Linked DNA regions of Schizosaccharomyces pombe. The protein of the gene in region 1 interacts with the protein of each later gene in a biochemical or structural test. Each region holds a gene or a part of one and is shown on either strand. Other genes may lie near its edges. The genes, in order: hri2 and tif211.

Region 1 (12,896 bases):
CAACTTTACCATTGTTGATTTCAATAACTTTTTAGATGTAAAAAAATAAACTAAAATAAAACAAAGACGTTTCTTTTGTTATAAACTAATAGATTTACTTTTTAACCTATAGTTTAATCGTTTTTTTTTTTTTTTTTTTTTGTAATTTATCTAAACTCGTATATGAAAATAGTATGTATTTTAGAAATTATACGAAGAATCTAATAAAAAAAGATTCCTTAAAATGTATTTCATATATACTTGAACGAATATGTAGATTCCATAAACAGAATTAAATTGTAAATGGGCATAAATTTCAGAGAAAGCAATTGTTTATAATAATTTAAACGTTCAAAGAAAAATATATATATTTTCGTGGAGGAAAATAAAATTCTAAGACGAATGAATTTGCTAATACGAGTGACGATTAAACATACTATTTATTGCTTCACCTACTAACCTTCGTTGTAATTTATCTACTTTTTAAAAAACATTAACTCGTAGTTGCATGCTAATTAGATTACCTAGATTTTTTTAAGGTGAGGTGCAGCTATGCATTTTGGCAATCACATATGGTTAAGTATTTTACTATGATTAATCTAGCAAAAATAAATATGACTGAAAGATACCAAAAAAAACTATTTTTTTTTTAGGTTTACACAAGCAAATAGTAGATGCTTTATTTTTCACCTTATTAAAAATTGATTTCTCGTAAAGTACTGAAACCAAAGTACGTAAATTGATCAAGTTGGTGTTTACACTTATACCTCTAGCTCAACCTCCGTCTCTTTCAACAATATACCGCTAACCCAGATTCCTTGATTTTGTCATTGAAATAAGTTAAATTCTTTTTTTTGCTTTCTATACAAAACAAAATTTCATTGTATCTCTGAAAGCATCATCATAATCATATTCCTGAAGTCCTTTTGAATTGCTGTTCATAACTTATTACTTCTCGAAGCTGGGTTTGAAAGCGTAAATATTTACAGTGGTTACTTCTTTGCAAAATTAGTGACCATCCTTTTTCTCTCTCACTTTCTTTTTCTTTGAAAATCAAATTTAGGGTTTTCAGTTTTGGGTGAATACGGTTAGTAATCATTCTATGCGTTTTGCATCCAATTTCTTTTCTTAGCAAAGCCGTTTTAGTATACGTTTATTTTGATTGAATGACTGAAGTTGAATGCTGGGACGATGATCCTGATTTTGCTTCCGACGTCGATAATGCTAGCCTATTTACTCAATCCATAGCTACCACTAGTGCTAGTACGAGTGTGGATGATGGGTTCTCGTTTGACGACTCTATTAGTCGTCTTAATAGCCTTTCAATTTCTGATGTACCAAGCGCTCATTCTCGTGTCGAACAATGGAATCAACAAGTACATAATTTAAACCATGAACTGTCTTCCAACAAGAACCGAATTTCTTCCAATGTAGAAGGCTATGAAGATGATTTTTCGTTCGATGAAGAAGGTGAAGAAGGTAATAATGAGTTTAATACACTTCGTCCCAATAAATACCAAGATGCCGATGTTGATGAATTCAATACTATTAGAGCATCTGAAACTGCTTCTCAAAGACCTCCAATTCCATTCTCTAGTGATACTCTTAAGAAAACATATCTTTCAAGTGAAAATGATGCTCGGTATCCCAGTGTTTCGGACTCCCCTTATTGTGAATCGGAAGGCTTTTCTTCATTTGAAGATGATTTTGAAATAGACCCAGATACCGACCTAAACAGTATTTTGCACAGAAAACAAAATAGGATGGATCCAAAAGCTTCCTTTTCCAGCGTAGAACAGTCTTCGCTTCGTACGCCTTCCTCTGCGCATAATGACGACGGCTTTTGGGATGATTTTGATATTGACTTTAATAACGAAACAGAATCGATCTTTCGGAAAAAGATTCGATCTCCAAATACCATCAACCAAAAGCATCCTTATATTTCCTCCACAATTTCTTATCAACCTAATGTGCATCAGGATGCAAAATATTATCCCCTTTGTAAAGACATATTTCCTTCACTCGCTAATGAAAACCCTCATTCTGATAACCCAAACCTAAAGTATTCTTCGAAAACACTTTCGAAAAGGGATACGTCTTCTCATTATCCAGAAACGTTGAAGGCTTCGAGTAAACATTCTTCTCCCGTGAAGGGAAATTCTTCTATAAGCTCCACATGGACTCCCTCGAATTTGAAGATCTATCATTCGAAAAATTCGATGGGTTTGATGGATTTGGACGCTTTGAAGACAGTTGCAAGTAATTCTAAATACAGAACAAAGCCTAAAAATTGCAAGACTTACGGAGATGGTACAGAACTTGATACTTTAGATGAATTACCAGTTGATTATGAATTTGAGCTTAAATTGAGAAAAAAGCAAACTACCAAAGTTTCCGGAACGCCTAAAAGTAAACACGCAGGTTCAACTCAAGAATGGCATTCACATACTACCCCTAGATCTACTTCGAAACATGAGAATAATTTAAATAATATAACTAATTCAGCAAAAAATGAGCATATTCGGTCTCAAAGGCAACACAAAACTCATGCCGCCCCTTCTAAAGAGTTAACAAAAGAATCGCTTTCCAATGATCAATTGAGCGTCAAAGAAAAACGCAGACACCATAAAAAGGCACCTACTTTAATACAAAATTTAAATTCCCCTAGAACCCCAAAAATTGTTGGAAAAATGCGATATAATCCCACAAAACATTGCTGGGAAGGAAACGATTATGCAATTAGAGATTTTGATACCCCTATCTCGCCTAGCCGTCCAGCATTAATTTCCAACATTTCTACAAAAAAAGGAATCCAGGTTGTCGGAAATATGGTATATGACCCTACAAGGTTACGATGGATTGATAATTCGATTTCTGGTCAAGAAGCGGAAGATCCCTTTAGCGGGTTTGATGATCTTGAGGATACAGACTCCACCTCGCAGTACTTGAACGAAAATTCAGGTAGCTTTAATGGTAGCATAAACTCAATAATCAATTTTCCAGATATGAGTGAAATATACGATGTCGGCCCAGAGTTTGAAAAAAAGCAATTTAGCGAAGATATTCAATGGCGAAAGAGAATTGATGGCTGGTTTTTTTCATTTAAAAACGATGACAGGTCACGACTATGGGAGCTTTATAATATACTTAATGCCGAACAATAAACAAGGTTTTGTCTTTACCTTGCGAATGTTTATATATAATTATACGAATGCTTTTGTTTATCGCAGATTTGATCTTTTTGTACATAGCTTAATACACTTCGAAGATTTTTCATTTTGTTTGCAAATAGATGTATAAGATGTACAACAATGATACAAATGTAATACTAATGTGACACCCAGACAAACTAGATTGTTTGAACAAGACAATACAAAGAAAATAATCAATTAAATTTGGACCGAATACATTATACCCTTAAATACCGTCTGTAATATAGAAACCATTTTTGCCATCATTATAATACTTGTAAGCGTCTTTTAACACATTATTGGGGTTGCCAAGGAGGTTGTGAGACATACCCAGAAGAGTAATTAGGATCCATATATGGATAGCCGGGATTATATGGGTTGGTAGGGGGAGGAACGGTACTAGGATTACCATGCCAGTCATTTCCTGAATCAAAATGCCTTTCACCATGGTGAATGGGTGGACCTCCCCTATATGGTTTACGACCCCGGAATCGCTCATCACGACGCATAGCAAAATCTTTTCCTCTTTTACTAATTGCCTTAGAACTTATTCCTAATCCAATTTCAATATCAGGTTCATCCAAAGCGATACCAGGAGTAATCGGAAGGCCACCCGTGCCGCCATATTCTGCAGTTACAAGCCAGGTACGATCGGCATCCGTCAACAAACGGATTGGGATAACGCTGATTCCTGTGGAAAAGTCAGAGCACTCTCGAGGTCCAAATCCTACACCCCATTTAGTACGAATAGTAGTATCAGCAAAAGGGACATTTTCCATCGCTACTTGAGCTTTCTCTGCAGCATCACGACGAAACATTTTCAAGAACCCGTGTCTGTAATTATGATTTAAAATTAAACTTTGTACAGACCCAAATCGTTCAAACATAGATCGAAGAACAGGTTCTCGCACAGAACGAGTAATACCACCAAGGAAAAGAGTACGGCTGTATACCTTAATAGAATCAGGTGGAATGGTTGGGTCACGCTCAAATCGGCGAGGAAATCCATCAGGGGTAGGTTTTGGCACACCATCTGCAGGAGGCAAAGTAGAAGGAATGGATAAATGAGAAGGACTAGGGCTACGACGAGGGCGACCACTACGAGGACTAGGGCTACGAGAACGATGTAAGGAGCCGAGTCTTAAGGATTGGGAAGAGGTAGGAGCTGGCAAAGGAACACTGCCGACACCAGCCGGCTGGAATGGAGCGTTATAGTTGGGAAAAGCAGCTTTCATGATGCTATCGATTTGTGCAGGTGGTACATTCTGAGAAGCCAATACATTCATGAGAGTGATCTGTTGACTCTGGGTATCATTGACCGATCCTGTCTTCATCCCCATGGGACCAGAGGGAATAGACTGTGGTACATTTGAAGGTTGGAATAGAGGGTTTGATAATGGATTGCCTGACTGAGACTGTGCATTAATGGCGGTAGCTGGATGAACAGGTAGGTTAGGGACGACAGCAGAAACGGATGGTGCGACGGCAGGCTGCGGTGGAGTGCTAACTGATTCTTCGGCAGCACTAGGGACGGGCGCCTTTTGAGCGAAAGCAGCCAATGCCTCTAGAATAGAAGCAGCATCGTTTTCGACAGGACGAGAAGTGGGGGCGGCTGCTTGACTACCAACAGAACCACCATTCCCCTCGGGATTAGTAGACTGTGATGGAGCAGCAGCAGAATCTACACTAACCGGTTCCGTACTTGCCATTGCATCTTTCAGCTTTGAACGAAGCGATTCTAGCTTCTCGGGAGGAAATGTTGAAGCCTTCTCCCAAATATCACAAAGCTTTAATATTTTAGGCTACATGCTTAGTTAGTTACAAATTAGTCCAATAATGTTAAAAGACTTCTCAAAGAGAATGATACTGTATTACAAGGAAAAAATACCTCTCTCATACAGTGTCTCGCTGATACAGAAGCAGAGAGAGCATACGATTATCCATACGGGATCTTATCCGTAGTCAACCTTGAAAAACTTCAGCTACACATACCAAATGAGCAGATGGCGCATGCTGTATAGCATCTGCGACCAAACTATCAGTTATTTCAGCAGCTTTGCACCAGCCGCCACTAAAAGACGCATCAACGGGATTTTCAAAAGATTCATTATTCTTTTTAGCACCGTCCTGAAAGCTACGAACGATTGAGTCTAGAATATACAAAGCTCCTAATTTATGGGTGACGGGAGCACGCTTCGCATACTTATACACACTAGCAACAAATTGCGCATTCTCTGAAACATTTTCCATCGACAAGTTAGTCAATTTCAAAATTTTTGATCCCGAGATTCCTGTCTTGGAATGTTCAAGGGAATCTAAAATACCATCGAATTCAGCGATTCCCGACATATCACAAGAAAAACGACAATGAAAAAAAAAAAAAACTTTTCAAAACTAGAAAACTACCCTGTTTCCTTTATAAGAATTTTACTACTTTTTTTCTTATATTAGTTTTTTACACGTGCTTGAAAGACGTTAAAAAAGGAAGTCACCCTGTTCTTAAATACTTTTTGTGTTATGGTTACGGTTAAGTGGTGAAGTAGGTGATGCTGGTTATAAAGCTGGTATTACGGAAGGGTAAGGAAAGTGCTTAAAGAGATGCTAAAAATTTCCAAAGTTTCACACTTTGTAAAAAAAAATATATATCATATTGTTTTAAAAAATGTATGAAAATTTTTAGTGTAAAAAAAAATAATAATAATGAGTAGCGTTTTTGTTAATTTCATGCCCATGATCCTTCTGGTAACAAGTTTGTCAGCCTCGACCACAAAATTGGGACTGCGAAGTAATCTCAGGGTTCGGGTTTATTTATGAGATTTACTATATATACAGGTACTCGTGCATTTGGTTCGGTATTCTCTCTTTGCCTTTTGGCTTAGATCAAGTGTAGTATCTGTTCTTTTCAGTTTAATCGCTGAAATCACCTCACTGAGGTGTTTCCGATTAATCTTGTTTTTGGTTTGAGTTGGAAAGCCTCTGGCTTGCTATGCTTTCCGACACTGGTGTTCTTGCTATTGCACTACTGGCAAGCGACGCCGAATCTTCTTCTGTTGACAGATTTGTGACGCATGAATTTGACAACATTGGATGGTTTAGGATGTGAGGTTTGAAAATATTTAACTTCGTACATTGATAGTGTGTGGTGAAGATAATATTGTTATCGTTGAAAGTAAGCAGTTTATTTAAATTTTTTCAGTTGCTAAACCCACTGAAAGAGAGGTTGAAGACTTGCTGATGCTATGCGTATTGAACTTTTAACACAGTGGGAAAGGTAATTAAATAATTTTATCTTTAAAATTCAGTAAGTAGTTATTAGTGGTTGGGGGTTTTGAGAATAAAAGTGAGGTAAGTAGTTAATGCTGTAAGCAATTGTGAACTGTAGAGTTGTGTTGACATTAGCATTTTTTTTCATTAATGCTTGATGATATCCTAATTTGTGGATAATATAGAAAGCATTTGACTGTTTTATGGTAGTCTAGATAGTCAATTTTTAGTGAAATGACTGAAGTCAAAGCATGTGATATACTGTATCGCATTTGATTTTGTAAACTGAGTCTAGCAATGTGCAAGGTCTCCTTTGTTATGCTTATGAAGATGGGTGTACCAAATGATATTGCTTATTAAGGAGCGTAATCATTTGCGATATGATTCAAGGTTGCTCCACCAATTCTATCTTTATTGCCATCTTTGATTCTGGCGATAATTTTTCGCTTCCACATTGCCAGACTTATATAATGACCCCCGGTATGTCTGATTGGGTTATTATCCTATAGCCACCACCGCCTTAATGAACTGAGACACATTGTATACTACTTAAAGTGGATCTCTTAGTTACGTTTGATTTAATTTTTTTAAGGTATAAACATAGACAACACAATCCTTTAATACCCATCTTCAACGGTTTGAGTGATTCATTGCTGATTAGTAAGGGGTGTATCAATCTTCATCAGCATCTACTTGTTCAATAGGTTTCAGGATATCTTTCGTTTGTTTTTCTTAGTTCTTTCAAACTTTCTTTGTTTTTTTATTCGTTTCTAGTCGATTAAAAACTTTAAAAAAATGTCTTCTGCATCCATGTTCGGGAGTCTTAAAACCAATGCTGTGGACGAATCCCAGTTGAAGGCTAGAATTGGAGTTTTAGCTCTCCAAGGAGCATTTATTGAACACATTAATATAATGAATTCCATTGATGGAGTAATTTCTTTTCCTGTTAAAACTGCTAAGGATTGCGAAAATATTGATGGCTTAATTATCCCAGGAGGTGAGTCTACTACCATTGGCAAATTAATCAACATTGATGAGAAGCTTCGTGATCGTTTGGAGCACTTGGTTGATCAAGGACTTCCTATTTGGGGAACGTGTGCTGGTATGATTCTTCTGTCGAAAAAGTCTCGAGGTGGAAAGTTCCCAGATCCTTATTTGTTGCGCGCCATGGATATTGAAGTGACTCGTAATTATTTTGGACCTCAAACTATGTCTTTTACAACTGATATTACAGTTACAGAGTCAATGCAATTTGAAGCCACTGAACCTTTACATTCCTTTTCGGCCACTTTTATTCGTGCTCCAGTCGCTTCGACAATCCTGTCTGATGATATTAATGTTTTAGCTACTATTGTTCATGAAGGCAACAAAGAGATTGTTGCGGTTGAGCAAGGTCCCTTTTTAGGTACATCGTTTCACCCCGAGCTGACCGCCGATAATAGATGGCATGAATGGTGGGTAAAAGAGCGTGTTTTACCTTTAAAGGAGAAAAAGGATTAGTTTTTTAAATTCATGCCTATAGTTGCATGTTGTATAATCCCACAAAAAGAGTTGAGACAGGTAAATGCCTCACTTATTATTTTAGTCAGTCATTAAGTTTTAAATAATAAATCCTTTTAGATTAATTTTTTAGATTTTAAGTGTTAATTGTTATTTGCTTTCAATCTTTTCTAGGTTCATTTGCGCTGCATAAGTTGCTGTCATTTCCATTGCTAAAAGCATATAGTTTGAATACATTATCAGTTAATCAAATGTTTATAAAAAATGCGCATTATTTTGGGTAATATAGATACACATTCCATAGAAAATTTAACCGAAGATTAAATTTTAGTACACTGGAATTATTCAGTAAGTGATAAATCAAAAATCAAAATTAAGAAAAAATAAAAAACTCCGTTGCGGGGAGTCGAACCCCGACCGCGTCGGTGAAAGCGACGAATCCTAGCCGTTGGACCACAACGGATTCCATGTGCTCTTTACTACTTAGTATAATTTAATATAAAAATTAAAGAATTGTTTATGAATGTGAAATGATAAATTAAATTGTGTCAAATCAAAATGTTTTTTCCTCACATCATGCTGGCTAATGTAATTAAATTTAATAGTTAGCTTGAAGTGCTCGTTCTCTTCAATTTTCCTTCTTACTATCTTGAGGTAAAACTAATGAATGAATTAATAATTCAAATGATTTCTGTCCACAACATTTATCTGGTAATAAAATATATCAATTCTTTAAACAAATTGGTTTTATAAATTCAGTTTCGAGCTGGATTCTTTTTGCTTTGATTTAGATTATAAATGTATCTTTGGCTTACTGTTTACGATGCTAATTTAAAAATTGACTTGCTTTTTCACGAATGAAGAAGTTCAAAAAAGAAGACTGATTATAATTACTTATCTGAATTTTTAACAGTACAAATACATACTTATCGTTAACACGACCATAGTCAGTAGAAACCATGTATTTTAGCTGTAGAGTTAAATTCTCCTAATGTTACTTTCATGATCTGAAAAGTCAACCACAAAGTTTCCATTAACAATTCTCTAACCTTCCATTGTAAGATACGAGATTAGCTGGTTGCGATTAACGGGATTTTGACAAATATTTTGATAAGTGCAGAAAAAAACTGGTTGTTTTCTTAATGCCTTTTTCACTTCCATCATCACAAATATGCGATTTTTCAACGCTCACAAGTCAGCGGAAGATGGGAATTACTCAGAGACAACAAATGCAATAAGTTTAAAAAATGAAAGACAATCAAGGGATTTGTCTGTCAATAAACATGGTAGGAATTAATTACAACTGTGTGTATAAAGCAGTTGACGAACTAAAAATATTGGTCATTGACAACCTAAGCTAATGTATTTATTAGGGCGGATGCTTTTAACTGCTTTGTTGGAAAATTTTTGTCGTATGTCTAAGCTCTCGTTTCATGTGAACTACTTGCTTACTTATTAAAGAACTGTATGACAATAATCCTGCCAAGTCCAAACGACTTTTTGCTTTAATTTGCCATACTCTTCAAAAAATAGGTATTTTGGAAGAAGAATATATTGAAGAACTTGCAGCCGTTAGATCCAATTATCAGGATGCTTTACACCATTTGATTCTGCAAGCGCGTGAGGCAATCCGTCTCGACGATGCTGAAGAGCGACTTTTAGCACTACCCGATCCCACCAATGTATTTGAAAAATTTCCACAAGAAACTGCTCTTTCGAAATTCTCTGTAGATGGATTAAATGTAAGACAGTTCCGATTCCGTGATCTTACGCTTGAGAGTTGGTTACAGTCAAGAAACTCTCGTTACATAGAGGACTTTGAGGAGTATTCTTTACTAGGAAGAGGTGGATTTGGATCAGTATATCACGTACGAAATAAGATTGACGGTGCTGAATACGCAATGAAGAAAATTAATTCAACATTTCAGCAAATGTCTTATTCCAAAATATTTAGAGAAATCAAATGTCTAGCAAAAATGGATCATCCAAATGTTATGTAAGCATCATCAGAAGGACTTGTTTTCATCGCCTTCCTTTTATTATTTCTAACATCGGCTTAGTCGATACTTTTCGAGCTGGGTAGAAAGCACCACAGAAGCAACACAAATGCCGATAGTAATGTCTAAAAATTCTAGTAGAGTACTTGGAACCTCAAGCTATTGTGATGTCAACGGAATGGACTCCATAATTTTTGAACCAACAGAATCTTCTGCCCTTACAGACGATATACTATTTGCAGAAGATCCTGGCACCGAGTCGATCATTTCAACTTCCAGAAAATCTAGCTACTCAAGCACTACTGAATCTTCTAACTTTGAGAATTTAGAAAGCCCTCGTAATCTTCATGACTCTAATGTTTCTACTTTTAATAATACCACCATCTTGGATGACGACTATTCTAGTAGCATGCACATATCTAAAACTGGACCCACTCATTCTTTTATTATTTATATTCAAATGCAGCTTTGCTTTGATGATCTAGAGTCCTATCTAATAAGAAGAAACCATTTTCTTTCATTCCCACTATGTAAGGAACAAATACAACTGCATACGGATTTATTCCGAATGATAATTAATGGCGTTATGTACGTACATGAAGGTGTGAACTTGATCCATCGAGATATCAAACCCAGCAATATATTTCTTGCTAAATCTTTACCGGAGGACCGTGGGTCTGTTCCTTTAATTAGTTATAATGATAAAAACGATTTGAAAGAATACATTACTCCTAAGATTGGTGATTTTGGACTCGTTGTTGAAAATAAAAAAAACACAGAAACCGCACTTTCTTTTCTTGAACGAAACCACTTGCCTAATCTGCAAGATGAGACTCAGCATATAGGCACTGCAACTTACGCGGCTCCGGAATTGCTAGATGCTATGTCTTCTCAGCATAATAAATTTACAAAAAAAATCGATACATTCTCATTAGGAATGGTTTTGTTTGAGCTGTTGCACCCGTTTCAAACAAATATGGAACGTGCAACAAAACTTCAAGACCTTCGTCGAGGAAATCTTCCTGAAGAGTTCGTTGAGCAACATATTTGTGAGTCAAGTTTAATTTTATGGATGACAGCCAAAGACCCCACGAAGCGACCATCACTTCTGGAAGTTCTCAATTGTGGACTATTATTACCTAACCAAGTCTCAATGCCAAATATATCAAATATTGTATCAACAAACCACTTGGATGTTGAAACTCAAATGAAACTTATAATGGATGAAAATCAGCGACTGCGTGAACAAATTGCTGTTCTACGATCCAGGATTCAACATCTTGAAACCCGCTAAACTAAAAATCTTCACTTTTTAATACTTAAATTTCCAGTCAATTTGTTCAGTTTCCCGAAAGTATAGCATTATTTATATCTAACGCTTTTATGCCACAAGTAATAAAATAAAGCAAGGATACATTAAAGCTAATTTTGTTTGTAAAAGCTCCGATAAATTCCTTATTATTAAAACCATTCATATCTATACACCTAAATAATCCAAAATAAAAACGACAAAGTAAAAACTATTGAACAGAATCCCTTAAAAAAAGATAACATTCAAAACCTTTTTTTTTTTTTTACCAAGAATGTTGAACAGCAGGTATTTTTTCATTTTCACGTTCTTGCTCATACTCAATATGAATATGAGGAGCGCGCTTCTTCCTGGATTTCTTTGCATCGTCGGTCTTACGTTTCCTGATTTTTCCTTTGTTATCCTCATCCTCATCCTCATCGGATTCAGACTCTGAGCTTTCCTCCTCTTCAGACTCTGAAGTTTCCATGGACTGATCTGAGCCGAGCCAATCTTCCAAATCAGAGATTTCTTCTTCATCTTCATCATCACTAACAAATTCTAATTCAGCTTCTTCTCGTTCCTCCTCTTCCTCGCCTTCATCAATTAAACCCTCACGTGCGGCTAGTACCTTGTTCCATATTTCTTCATTAACATTCAAAGGTTGATCACCATAAACACCACTTTTAAGTCGCTTAACCAATTCTTTTTCAATATTTTTCTCTAATTTGGCGGCAATAAGTGCTTTTCTTTCACGAGAAGCTTCACGATGCGCTTGTTTAGGCTTAATGGGAATTAATGCTGGTTGGTGTTTTAATGCCAATCGTCTAGCCTTCAATAGGTACTGAGTGAGGCGGGTTAGTCTTTGCTTACAGCGGTGGATTTGACGACCAGGCCAATACAATAACTGTTGATCAATTTGCTCCAACGCTTTAGCGTAATTTTTTGATAACTTTATCCGTTGCCAAAGTTTCGATGGAAAATGCGCACGTTCTATAGTTTTCATGTAAAGATACAGCTTTCCATTATCCTCCCGTACTGTGGCATATCTGGAGTTAGCCAATGGACATGATTGTCTATTGCACAACCCAGTGACATTGTATTCATTTCTGCAAAAATTTTGTGCCTCCCCTCTAAAAATTGTGTTAGGTTATAATGTAATACTAAAAGTGCGAAATCAACTTACTTGATCCTATATGAACAAAATTCATGACCTACAACCTGCCAAATCACCTCGTCTTGCTGCATTTTCGAGTATGGCGCTTGGTAAAGAAAATCCAATTAACAAATTCAAGAATCAACCATATAACGAATTTTAAGAGAATGCGGTAAATATTATTAACGGGAAAAATTGTAAGTAATGTTGTGCAAATGCATGGATCAAGTAGACTGCAGATATCCAACATTAAATTACAGTTGTTTAGTTGTTTGGTGTAGCGTTCGTTTTTGGGATTAATCCTTCTTTAGTTTCGATGATTTATTAATAACCATTGATACTTTTCATTAACTATATTGGCTTGCTAATCTCCTAAAAATTCTTCAATTGCAATTTACGATCATTTATACTTGATTTTTAAACTGTTGATTGATTGATTAGATAATTGCTTCCGTATGTATAATTTTGCAATAAGCTAAGAAGCTTACTGCTTAATTTTGAAGTTAACTACCAAAGCAACT
Region 2 (11,857 bases), 2.2 Mb from region 1:
GGAAAGTGCCAAGTTTAAATCTTACAACTTTGCAGCTGAAGGTATACCTCCAGCTGGTGGATGTCTTCATCCTTTGATGAAAGTACGTGAAGAATTCCGTAAATTTTTCTTCGAATTGGGTTTTGAAGAAATGCCAACCAACAATTTTGTTGAAAGTGGATTTTGGAACTTTGATGCTTTATTTGTCCCCCAACAACATTCAGCAAGGGATGCTCAAGATACTTTCTTTTTGAAAGTTCCTGCTTCTACTGATAAATTGCCAGATCCCGAATATGTTGCTCGAGTAAAGGCCACTCACGAAAACGGTGGTGAGACTAAGGGCATTGGATACCGTGCTCCCTTTTCCTTGGAGGAAACTCGTAAACTAGTTCTTCGTACTCATACTACTGCTGTCTCGGCGAATATGTTGTACAAACTTGCCCAAAATGGCTTTCACCCTGCTAAATACTTCTCAATTGATCGGGTCTTCCGCAATGAAACCGTTGACGCAACTCATCTTGCCGAATTTCATCAAGTCGAAGGCGTAATCTGCGATAGAAATATTACCCTCGGTGATTTGATCGGTTTCCTTGAGGTGTTCTTTGGAAAAATGAACGTTAAAAATTTGCGCTTCAAACCTGCTTATAATCCTTATACTGAACCTTCATTGGAAGTCTTTTCCTACCACGAAAAGCTTGGTAAGTGGGTTGAAGTCGGAAACAGCGGCATGTTCCGTCCGGAGATGTTAGAGCCTATGGGATTACCTAAAGATGTTCGTTGTTTAGGTTTTGGTCTTTCTTTAGAGCGCCCCACTATGATCAAATATGGTGTGGCCGACATTAGACAATTGATTGGTCCTAAGGTTAACTTGGACCTAATTGAGGCTAGCCCTGCAGTTCGTTTAGACAAAGAGGAATAAATTTAGTGTTTTTTTTTGCATAATCGTTTATAAAAATAATACATAATCACTATGGTAAACGTATTTTCGTATAGGGTCAATTATTAATATTTACAATGTCTATAAACATTAACTAAAATTATTTGATGTTTGTACGGATATCAAATAAAAAGTCGAAAATTCATTAATATCAGCCTCGAACGCGAACATCCACAGCTTTGTCTAAGTATTCATCATTCAACCGTTCGTCTTCTTCTTCCAAATGCCCAGTTAAGTCTGGTGGAATTTGCTGCATCTGAACGCTTGGCGCTCCTCCTAAGTAACGTAATTGCTCCAAGGCCCGTATTCGAAGATCTTCAAGAGCTTTCGGTGTATTTTTATTTTCTATCTTCGTGGTTAATCGCGGATGGAGGGTGTAATCTGGTGCGAAAAATTCGTAATACAAAGTTTCACGAGGTAATTCTGAAGGTATTTGTTCGTTTACACATATGGAAGTTTCATAACACCACGCTCTAGCAACATTTCTAAGAGTATAACCACCACCTCCAACTACAAGCATGGGTATATTGAATGAACGGGTAAATCTAACACATTCCCCATGTGCATGGATGCTCAGATTGAACACGCCGAGCCGATCATAACCAAGCGAATCAGCACCACACTGAAGGACAATTGCAGAAGGTTGAAAAGTATTGATAGTTGGTTCAATTATGGATTTGAAAAGACTAGTGTACTGTTCATCACCAATACCATCTTCCAAAGGAACGTTTAAAGCAAAATATTTCCCTCCTTTCACGCCATTTTCATCAAAATTACCAGTTGCAGGAAAAAAATCACCATTATACTTGTGAAAAGAAACCGTCAACACGCGGTCAGATTCATAGAATGCTTGCTGCACACCATCTCCATGATGAATATCGATATCGATATACAAAACGCGAGGAAAAAACCGTAGCATGTTCAAAATTGCTAGAACAATATCATTAACATAGCAGAATCCACTAGCCTCACCACGCTTTGCATGATGGAGACCACCGCTCCAATTGATAGCAATGTCTGTTTGACCTTGCACTAACTTCCGAGAAGCATCCAAACTAGCGCCTGCCGACCTTTGAGAAAATTCATAAGTGCCGTCAAAGACCGGACAGTCATCACCAATATTGAATTGTTGGAACTTATCAGCAAATTGTTCAGCATTATCAGGAGTAACGCGCTTAAGGAAATCCAAATAATCCTCCCTATGAAATTCTGACATTTCACCAAAAGTTGCCATCCGGGGGCTGAATACACTCATTTTGTTATGCAACCCATAACCCATCACTAAATGATTTGTAATGGTAATTCGATGGGGCTTCATTGGATGTTTGTCACCATAGTGGTAGTTTCCCACCTGTTCATCTAAGTGATATGTGACACGCTTTTTTTGAGGTCGAAAGCTAAAAAAAGACCCCTTTTCAACTTGTTCATAAGGTGTGGATGTCTCAGGAGTATCCATGATATACAGACTATTATACTAAAAAAAACCGCGAGACAAATTAAATGAAAATATCTTTTCTAAAGAAAGAACAAGAAAAGAATAAATAAAATTAAGAAACAAATTAATAACTGTTTCAGAAGAAACAAGAGAAATGAAAGTTATTGACCAATGCCAAATTAATATAAATCGAAAAACAACCCAGATTTTTTTATAGAAAAGAATTCAATCCAAATAATAAACAGCAACACGAACTGTAAATACTTTATTTTTACGTCGAGCGCAGAATACGTAGCAAAAGGTCGCTAAACCCGATACCTTATTAGATAAAATGTACAACTTCAACAAAGCGTTAATTCAAACTCTTTGAAGCCCATAAACACAAGAACAAATAGGATTTACAATTTTTTGAAGAATTGCTAGTGCTGGTTCATTCTTATAACTTAAAAATGTATATCTCAGTGAACACAGAAGGAAGCTACCAACTTAGGTGTAGTTTAGTATGTTATGCTTCCATATATGAACTAACACATTAATAACGTATCGTTATTACTTAAACAGATGGTAACCTTTAGCATGTGAATTCATAGACAATTTGGCAACTTAGATATCATACATACGTTGAAAAGATTTATCTTCAAAGTGATTTGGTTTGCGTGAATTCTTATGTTTTTATTTCGCCCTCTTTGCCTTCCAGTACTGTGTTTACATTATATGGAGTGGCGGAACTCAACACCAAATGTGGGCTACTATAAACAACCGGAAAAATTTTCAGCAGCTTAAGAGAGTGTAAAAATAATCTTTAAACGACACAAAAACGAGCCATAGGTTCATATATATTATTTCAATTAGTGTCTTTGTCCTTCTCGTTTGTACATTTATTGTCACATTCCTCTACTTTAAAAGATAAAGTCATAGTATCTTTTATTCATTAGTTATTGAAGTATCGAAAATATTAGTGGAATATCAACTTTCCCTATCTCTTTAAAAGACTCAAATCTCCCTTTCTTTTGGAATTTGAAATCATAATAATAATTTTTGCATAAAGCGGAAATTAGAACGTATCTATAATTTTCAATTTGAGAATAATGGCAGATGATACAGCTTACATACTAAGTGAGTATTTGCAAACGTTGGATAATGTTCCCAACGAAACAAAACACATCTTTGACGAAATTAGTGTGAAGGAAGTTGCTGTACATGACATCTGGAAGAGAATTCAAGCAGCTGATTCTCAGATTCAGTCATACATTAAATCACATGGTTCCTTGACCCCACATCCAAAAGAAGATGCTTTGTATTCGACGATTCGCGAGGAGTATCAAAAGGCAATTAATATACAGAACGAGAAAGTCCAGTTGGCGGATCGTGCCAGATTGGGACTTACACGGCACATAAAGCGATTGGATGATAGACTTGCAAAGGCCGGTCATGGATTTACAGCTGCGGAATTGTTAAATGCTCCTGACTACTATGCTTCTTCACCGTATGGTGGATACAGTCCAAGTGGTGCCTCAAGTGCTCGTCAAACACCGGCCCCTTCTCGGTCGGGAGCCTCAACAGCTGGTCGCCGTCGTACTTCAGCAACTACCAGGGGTGCAATTCAAAATGGAGTCTATCACTCTCCTTATACGGCTTCGTTGGCAGATTCTGGTTCAACTCGCGGTCAGAAGGTTTCGAATGCCACTGCAACCACCCAGTTAGAAACTAAGGCAGATTCCACAACGCCGAATGAAATGGTCTCAGAAGAAGATATGGAAGAGGATAATGAAAAGTATTGTTTTTGCCAGCAAGGATCATATGGGCAAATGGTCGCTTGTGACAATGCTAATTGTGAGCGTGAATGGTTCCATATGGAGTGTGTTGGTCTTAAAGCTCCTCCTGAAGGTACATGGTATTGCGAAGCTTGTAGGGATCAGAAGCTTGTTGATGCTAAGTAATTTTTCCCCAATCTAAAGTCTGTTGGTCTTCCCATTATTGAATGCAAGCATTGTTGTTTTTTTTTGGGCTTTAATATCCGCTAATTTTTCACCTGTTCCGAACTTACTATATTTGATTATACGTTGTTCAAGCTGTGTATATGTGATTTGCAAAATGGTTAATTTATTAATCATATCTTCACGATTACGAATCCTTTTTATCTTATTCTTGTCCTTGTTTGTTTTTCACTCACATAATAAGTACCAGATTACTTGTACATTAAGAAATTCAGTTCTTTAATTTCCCCAATCCTCCCCAAAGCAGATATTACACGCCGTAGCTAACCACAGTAATAAGTCTTTTGTAACTTTATTATTTGTAATTGCATTTGTTGTCCATTATTTCTACTATATTGGAACTGAACTTATTATTGTACATACAAAGGAACAAGATGCAGCGTCTAGCGTTTTCATATTATCTCGTAACATATAAAAGAACTCTTACGCATTCGGAAAAAAGAAGAGGAAATTTTTTAACCATAGATATCACTAGATAAATTTGATAAAGTGTATAGTACAAAATAAAAAGAACCCCAGATTATAATGGAACACTAAAGTGCCAAAAATTCACAATGAAAAAGCGTATATTAGCTAGTGTCTAATCCATTTACTCAGAACCGCTTTGGTCATCCTCTTCATCACCAGAGATTTCAGCATTTTCCTTTTCAAATTTTTTCATCAAATCGGCAAGCTCCAATTCGTCAGTTTCACTAACCGCCTTGGGTTTCATTTTAACAGTACAGGTACCATTGGATGCTGTAATGGATTTTTCGATTGCACCAATTGCCTCTTCTAGCTTTTTGAGACCCAATGACTTATCTAATGCGTTTGTCAAAAGGACGTAAAGTGGAGGAGCAACAAGTTTAACTTTGATAGGAACCTCCTCGGTATGAACATCTTCAGCAGCCTTCAAAGCGGCCTTGATAGCGTTAATACCTTCGTAGCCAAAGCAAGTGACTTCAACGTCAGCACGAATTTTAATGGGCTGAGGCGTCAGACGACGAGAGATTTGAGCCAACAAATCATTAATAACACCCGATTTGGGAGGTTCTAAACCCTCAAAGACATGATCTGGGTTACTAATAGCAAGCTTAAAGGCGTCATAAGCATGTCCATATTTGCGGTATAATGGCCATCCAATTGTGGTATACATGGTCTCCAAAGGAACATTATGCTTCTCAGCAATATGGCGCATAATGGAATGAACAGCCTTAGATTTGTTGAAGCGTTCTTCGCACTTTACAACATCCTCAGGGCTAACACGGCGCTTTGAAAGATCGATGTATCCTTAATCCTGGTTAGTACATTCCTAACAACTTATAAACCTTTTTTCCCCTTTTGTTTTTCTTTTTTTTAAAAAAAAAAAAAAAAAAAACTACTAATAAATTCTTACCTTTTTCCTTGTCGACACGTAAGACCACGACGACTTCATTACGACCAACGCGAATATGCTTTTGTACTGAACGAATACGACGTCTGGAAAGCTCAGAGAGCAAAACCATTCCTTCAATATTATCGTATTCCAACAATTTTACATAAGCGCCCATCTCCTGGATTTGACGAACTATTGGAAATATTAGCCATTACCGTTTCTTTAGACAGACAACATGTGCATTTTTTACATACCGTTGACAACAACGAGTTCATCCACTTCCGGGAAGCGATTCTCGTACATTCTGCAGCTTGTCGTCGACATTTTTGCAAAGTGTTGAGTGTTTGGTTCTGAGTAAAAATTTGTGTGGACTACCCACTTCTAAACTCTAGGGGCCAATTTTGCTTCTTTTCAGAACCCAGACATTGGTCATTTTAACTTAACTGTTTATCAATAATTATTCTTTATATTTAAAAAGTTTCCTTAAAGAAGATTTATTAGTATCTAAAAGCACATAACGATCGGTGATAACTGGCTTACCAGCCGAACGCTGAATAAACTAGCAGTAAAGTATTTAATAAACTAAAGTGTTTAATAAACTACTAGTTTACTACATCGTTTAGAATTACAGATAATATACTTAAACTTTCTTTTCCCTCAAACGAAAATTACAATTGGAAAGTTTACGAATAGAAGACTCTGTCTAATTGATTCCACTTGTTCCTTTGACTAGAGTAAAGAATTATTTTATTGAAAAGTTGTTAATCCATTGCCTTACAAACCATCCATCACCGTTTTTTGGATTACAAAAAAAAGTGAGAACTCGTATTAATGAAATTCAAAAGGTTATCAATGCCAAACTCAAGAATAGTTGAGGAAATGTGTTTTCAACAGTCTTTGAATATAAACTATTACAAACAAACTTTTTTTTTTCAATGCGCTTCTCGTAGATACATTGAATCAAGAATGCATCTAAACTTAGTAAAGACAACCAGTTGAATATGTCTTTTATATAAATATAAAAGTTCTTTAACACTTGTTCATGAAAATGAACAAGATGTGGTACTAATTTGTGAATTGTATTTCATTTTTTGTCTGTTGTGGGATGTCCTCCATTCCGATTCGTACCTGGTCAATACAAGAATTGCGCTGTAACGAAAGTACTCATCTAGTACCTAGAATGAGAAAAGCCGCTTTAAATTAATTACAAGTATTTTCCAAATATGTTAATATAAAAAGAAGCAAATCATCAACAAAAAAAGATGAGCCTACAGCACCCCGGATTCCCATGTTGTCTCCAACCATAGTACTAACGAGGCCCTCAGACGCTTAACTGCAGTGATCGGACGGGAACTGGTGTTTTCGCCTAGGTATGGCCGTAGACGTTTAAATAGTATATTTATAACATGTATAAGCAATAAGTTTTTGAAGGCAAAGATAGAAAGCATTTAGGGAAACTGATGTATTCAATCAAACTGATAAAATTAAAAACTGTTGAAGGCATATTTCAGTATGCTGTCTAGTAAAAACAATTGAAAACAATAAAACGTACAAAACTTAAATCAGGCCGCGATGAACTGGTATGTATATAATTGCCAGATATTTGCGCAACGGTATTCTTGACAGTGCTATGAAAGCATCAAAAACAGAAAGGGGAAACTTAGTCATGCAGTTTGACGAAGTTTCATTTTTACTTTGGTTGAACGGCACGAGATTCCTCATTTTTAAAACGAAGGTAATATTAACTGTTGATCCTACAGCGATTCTTCCATTTTATTAATCAAGATGTCCTTGAAATCAGCAATCAACTAGTAACGGCAGAATTTGAGTATGTATATTCGATGAATTGTGAGAAACCCTATTTACAAGAATATGCATTAATAAGTATCTTAGTATACTCATTTTGTAGCTTTCAATGCTTATTAGAAAGGCCGATCTGTGATCGAAAAATATAAAAACTGCTCCGGCAGTGACTCGAACACTGGACCTCCTGTTTACGAGACAGGCGCTCTACCACTGAGCTACAAGAGCTACTGTTAGTTTGCACCATTATAGAAATATATAAAATAAAAATACTGTGTTTTTCATATTTTAACATTAACAAATTTAACATTTATCTCGAAAAACAGTTTTACGATTCTCATAATAAACCTTAGGTTTCTTATATCTAAAAATCTAAAAAAATATATATATATATATATATTTTCTTTTTAATCCACATCAATCTGTAATATCTGTTGAATGAAAAATTCCCGGTTGTTTATGAAAGCCTCCCCCAAAAAATAATCAATTTATTATAATAAGTGAGATCTGAATAACCGAATTTATTCATAAAATCTTCAACTAATTAATGAGCCTTTTTTGATGCATAATATCTACAGTACAATCCATATTTTTTGTAATATAAGCCCCTTTAGACAAAAAAGGGACGCAATCATTAAAAGATTATATACGATATTCGAGGTGATTTTTTTGATACTTATACAGAAATACCAAGGATAAGGACAAAAACGTTGTACTAGGAATAAAATGAGTAAAGCTGTATACGTTTTGTCAGAATATCGTAGAGCTAAGTAAAGTTGCAATTGTGATGACTTATCAATGTATAATTATAAAAATTAATCTTCCCGTTCATTTATTTTTAATAGTTTTTTTCCCCAAAATTTTGTCATTAGCTGAGACTTGCAAGTGCCGGTTTAGCGCTTTGTCGAACCGCACTTTGCATCGTGTTATAAATATGTTCTGATCCAGCGATCGCCATATTCATTACTGACTCCAAATAATCCAAATGCATACTAGTTTCCAGCTGCATATATACGACCTTTTTTATGTTCCCCAAAACAGCAACCGTCAACCATGAAAGAGCTGACTCCTCTAGTGAGTTTAAATCCAACAGCATATCAGACTCAACAATCCCAGCTGTACTACAGCAAACGAAATCTTTAACTGGTATACCAGCATCTATTAAGGCAAGAGTAGTAGCGTTGATACAAGATGCCATTACTGCACCATCATCTTGTAAAACATGCAAGTAGACAGAAATTTGACTTCTGGGATATAATTCTGTTTGAATTATCTCCTCAAATGTATTTTGTAAAGCTAAACATTGCAATTGAATTCTCCTATCCGATTTAAATCTCTTTTTCACATCTATTGTGCTGAAAGAAGCAATGTTTATTTCGACATTCACAAATGTTCTGTCAGCTCTAGCTTTGGACTTTATTACAGGCTCCGAGGGTCCATCGACTATACACAAGACCTTTGTGTTACCCAATTCAATAAACGCCGACCCATTCTCCGAAGGCTCGATTCCAATACGACACTGAAAGTTTCTCATCTCATCCCACCGTCGACCATCTTGCAACAAATATTAGCACACAGAAAGATTAATACATTTTATAAGAATCATAGATGTTTGAATGTAAATTTTAAGTTTCTTTTTCATTTCCCATAAATGAATTGGCTTACCATTTCGAAGACCTTCAAGGGATAAAATCTCAAAGTGTGACTATATGGTTAGTACTCGTATTATCTAGAGATAAATTCTATCTCTTACCATATGAAATTTTTTTTTTCGTGATTGAAAGGATTACAAATATATAATTTTTGGTTCCCTTTGAACACTTTTGTAACTGGGAGTGAGTAGAGAGTACACTTGTTACAGTAAAAACTCCTGCTACTGCATTCGCTACGAAACGAATTGGATTTGATGTCTTTGGGGGCACTAATCGATAATGAATTAGATAAATTTATTTCATTTTATTTAAGGATAAAGATTTTTATATCTCGTTTAGTGTGTCGGAAATTTAGTTTACAATATATTATTAATTAAGCGTTCAAAATTATTGAAGCCATAGATTTCTTTTTTTCTTCTTGCATTACCATTAATATTTCCTGTTCATGTTATAAAGAATCAAAAATCGAAATGGGTTTAGGGATTGACATTTTAAAAATTTCAAGAATCTCAAGATTAATTCAACGCTCTCCTGAATGGGAAAAGAACTTTTTAAAAAAATGTCTGTGTGAAAATGAAATTAAAAAGTACAACCTGATTAAAAGCAATTCCTCGCTGCCTCGTTTAAGCGAACAGGCTAAATGGCTTGCTGTTAGGTATGCTTGTCTATATTTATGATCGTTTCATAGTTTTAACGGTTATTTTCCTATGTAGATGGTGCGTCAAAGAAGCTGTTTTCAAAGCTTTACAACCGAATTTTCGAGTTTACATGTCTATGATGGAGTATGTTCGAACTCCCACAGGTGTGTCATTTGTTTTCCATGTTCAATGTTTAAAAATAAAAGGTTTGTAAAGTTACTGACTTTGTTATGATTAATATAGGCTACCCTTCCGTTGTTATTCATGATCCCCGATTTCCGCTTTCTCCCGTAATGGTATCTGTAAGCCATGAGGAAGATTTGGTTGTAGCGAATGCTTTGTATCTACCATCTATGCCAAAGACATAGACGAGAGACCAAATTGAAGGTACTATATTATTTAGTGATTCTATTGCTGCTACTCATTACCAGTCGTCTCAATGACCTTTTTTTATGTTATTGAGTTTATACTAACAGGGAATTATCTGGACAAGTCTACCTTGGAGTAAGGGGATGCAAAAAGAAAAAAAAAATAAATCATTCAATGAATCCTAATTACCAACAAAAAAACAACCGCTGCATAAACTTCAATATATTCATTCATTTTATGAAAGAAATATGGATTGACGTAGAAAAAAAAAACGACTGTTGCAAATTAACTAACCTAACAAAAGCATCATTTGAGAAATATTGTAAATTTCAAAATCAAAAACATATCATAATAATATAGCCATAGCCATATTTTTTACTGCTTGTTAAGAGAAGCGGTAAGTTTGGCTTGCTCAATCAAAACACGAGGAGCATCCAAGACAGGCATATGAACTTCAACGAGCTGAATTACATCAGCTTTTCCAAATTCCTCATCTTTAAAGAGATCGAGGAGCTCCTTTTCTGAATGAATGTTATAGGAGCGAGAATTTTTGGCACCATAGCCTTTAAGAAGGTTTTGATAGTCCCATTCAGTGTTGATGTCGTTGTAAACAGCGTGAAGACCGTGAATGAGACGTTCAATTGTATATCCCTTATTGTTAATTACAAATATGATAGGGGTGAGACCGTTACGGATGGTAGCAGAAATTTCCTGAACAGTTAAATGAAGGGAACCGTCACCAACAATCAATATGGAACGACGGTGAGGAGCATCGGAATCCTTGATGCCCAACGTAGCACCAAACATAGCGCCAACCGACCAACCAATTGAGCCCCATAATACCTGTGAGAGATTTTGGCAGCCTTTGGGGAAAATGCAATCCAAAATACCAAAGTTGGAGGTACCTGTCTCGGTAGTCACTACATCGGACTCACGAAGAAAAGAGGCAAACGTAGGCCAGAACCATTTGTGGGTAATGGTTCCTTCGGCGTAACCCTCAGCAGCAACAGCCTTTGGTGGCTCAAAGTGAACAGGACGGGCCTTTGCCTGAACGGACTTTTTGTCAATGGCAGCGGTGAGCTTGGGCAACAAATGTTTCATCGAAATGCCCTCGTAAACGCCAGAACGAATTTTGGTGTAGTCGGAATGAAATTCGATGGTTTGAGATGCAGGGGTAGCATAAGTAAAGGTGCCCGAGTTGAAATCGGAGCGAAGACCACCGATGATGAGAAGCAAGTCAGTAGATTCGGCACGTTCTTTGATGGAAGGCTCGGTCAAGGAGCCAATGTAGACGCCATCAAAGTAGGGGGATGACTCATTGATCGCAGTCTTACCCATGGGAGTAACGTAAGTGGGGAAATGGGTCGCATCAATAAAGTCTTGGGTTTCCTGTTGAATGTGGAAGCGGGAAACACAAGCGTCAACGAGGATAGAAGGGTTCTTGGATTTTTCGATCAATTCGAGAATCTCAGAAACCACCTCGTGCTCAATCTCCTTGTTGTTTTCGGGAACAGGGAAAACCAATGGAGTCTTCAAGGGAGAAGCATCCGTGTAGAAGTAGCCGGCGTCCGAAGGAACGGCCAGATAAACGGGTCTTGAAGTGCGAACGCACGTTTCCAACAGGTTGTCGATGAGACGACCGGCAGAGTCACCGCTATCCAGGAAGGCGACATCGGCAGACAACTCGGAGGAC

Evidence for each region.
Region 2: of the proteins of hri2 (region 1) and tif211, one has a biochemical effect on the other in vitro, tested with the Schizosaccharomyces pombe proteins (one study listed by BioGRID).

The regions. Positions count from the first base shown.
Region 1 is NC_003424.3:952,684-965,579, reverse strand, and holds hri2 (eIF2 alpha kinase Hri2), read left to right. Parts: upstream 1-8,969; 5' UTR 8,970-9,105; coding exon 9,106-9,220; exon of another isoform or gene 9,221-9,307; coding exon 9,308-9,346; exon of another isoform or gene 9,347-9,395; coding exon 9,396-9,930; intron 9,931-9,994; coding exon 9,995-11,225; 3' UTR 11,226-11,301; downstream 11,302-12,896. Other genes in the region: two-component GAP Byr4, read left to right, coding at 1,146-3,143; poly(A)site selection protein Seb1, read right to left, coding at 3,467-4,972, 5,163-5,519; sno1 (glutamine aminotransferase subunit), read left to right, coding at 7,230-7,934; nuclear HMG-like acidic protein Mak16, read right to left, coding at 11,506-12,352, 12,406-12,467. UniProt on the Schizosaccharomyces pombe protein: Mediates down-regulation of protein synthesis in response to stress conditions by the phosphorylation of the alpha subunit of eIF-2 (tif211) on 'Ser-52'. Protein synthesis is inhibited at the level of initiation. Activity is inhibited in the presence of heme.
Region 2 is NC_003424.3:3,160,625-3,172,481, reverse strand, and holds tif211 (translation initiation factor eIF2 alpha subunit), read right to left. Parts: upstream 6,055-11,857; 5' UTR 6,027-6,054; coding exon 5,957-6,026; exon of another isoform or gene 5,895-5,956; coding exon 5,724-5,894; exon of another isoform or gene 5,618-5,723; coding exon 4,938-5,617; 3' UTR 4,783-4,937; downstream 1-4,782. Other genes in the region: phenylalanine--tRNA (Phe) ligase alpha subunit Frs2, read left to right, coding at 1-898; class 1 histone deacetylase Hos2, read right to left, coding at 1,068-2,372; png1 (chromatin modification-related protein), read left to right, coding at 3,440-4,291; exosome 3'-5' phosphorolytic exoribonuclease Rrp41, read right to left, coding at 8,374-9,059, 9,171-9,210, 9,259-9,261; ppt2 (holo-[acyl-carrier-protein] synthase new8), read left to right, coding at 9,628-9,812, 9,871-9,959, 10,039-10,163; pdc201 (pyruvate decarboxylase), read right to left, coding at 10,540-11,857. UniProt on the Schizosaccharomyces pombe protein: eIF-2 functions in the early steps of protein synthesis by forming a ternary complex with GTP and initiator tRNA. This complex binds to a 40S ribosomal subunit, followed by mRNA binding to form a 43S pre-initiation complex.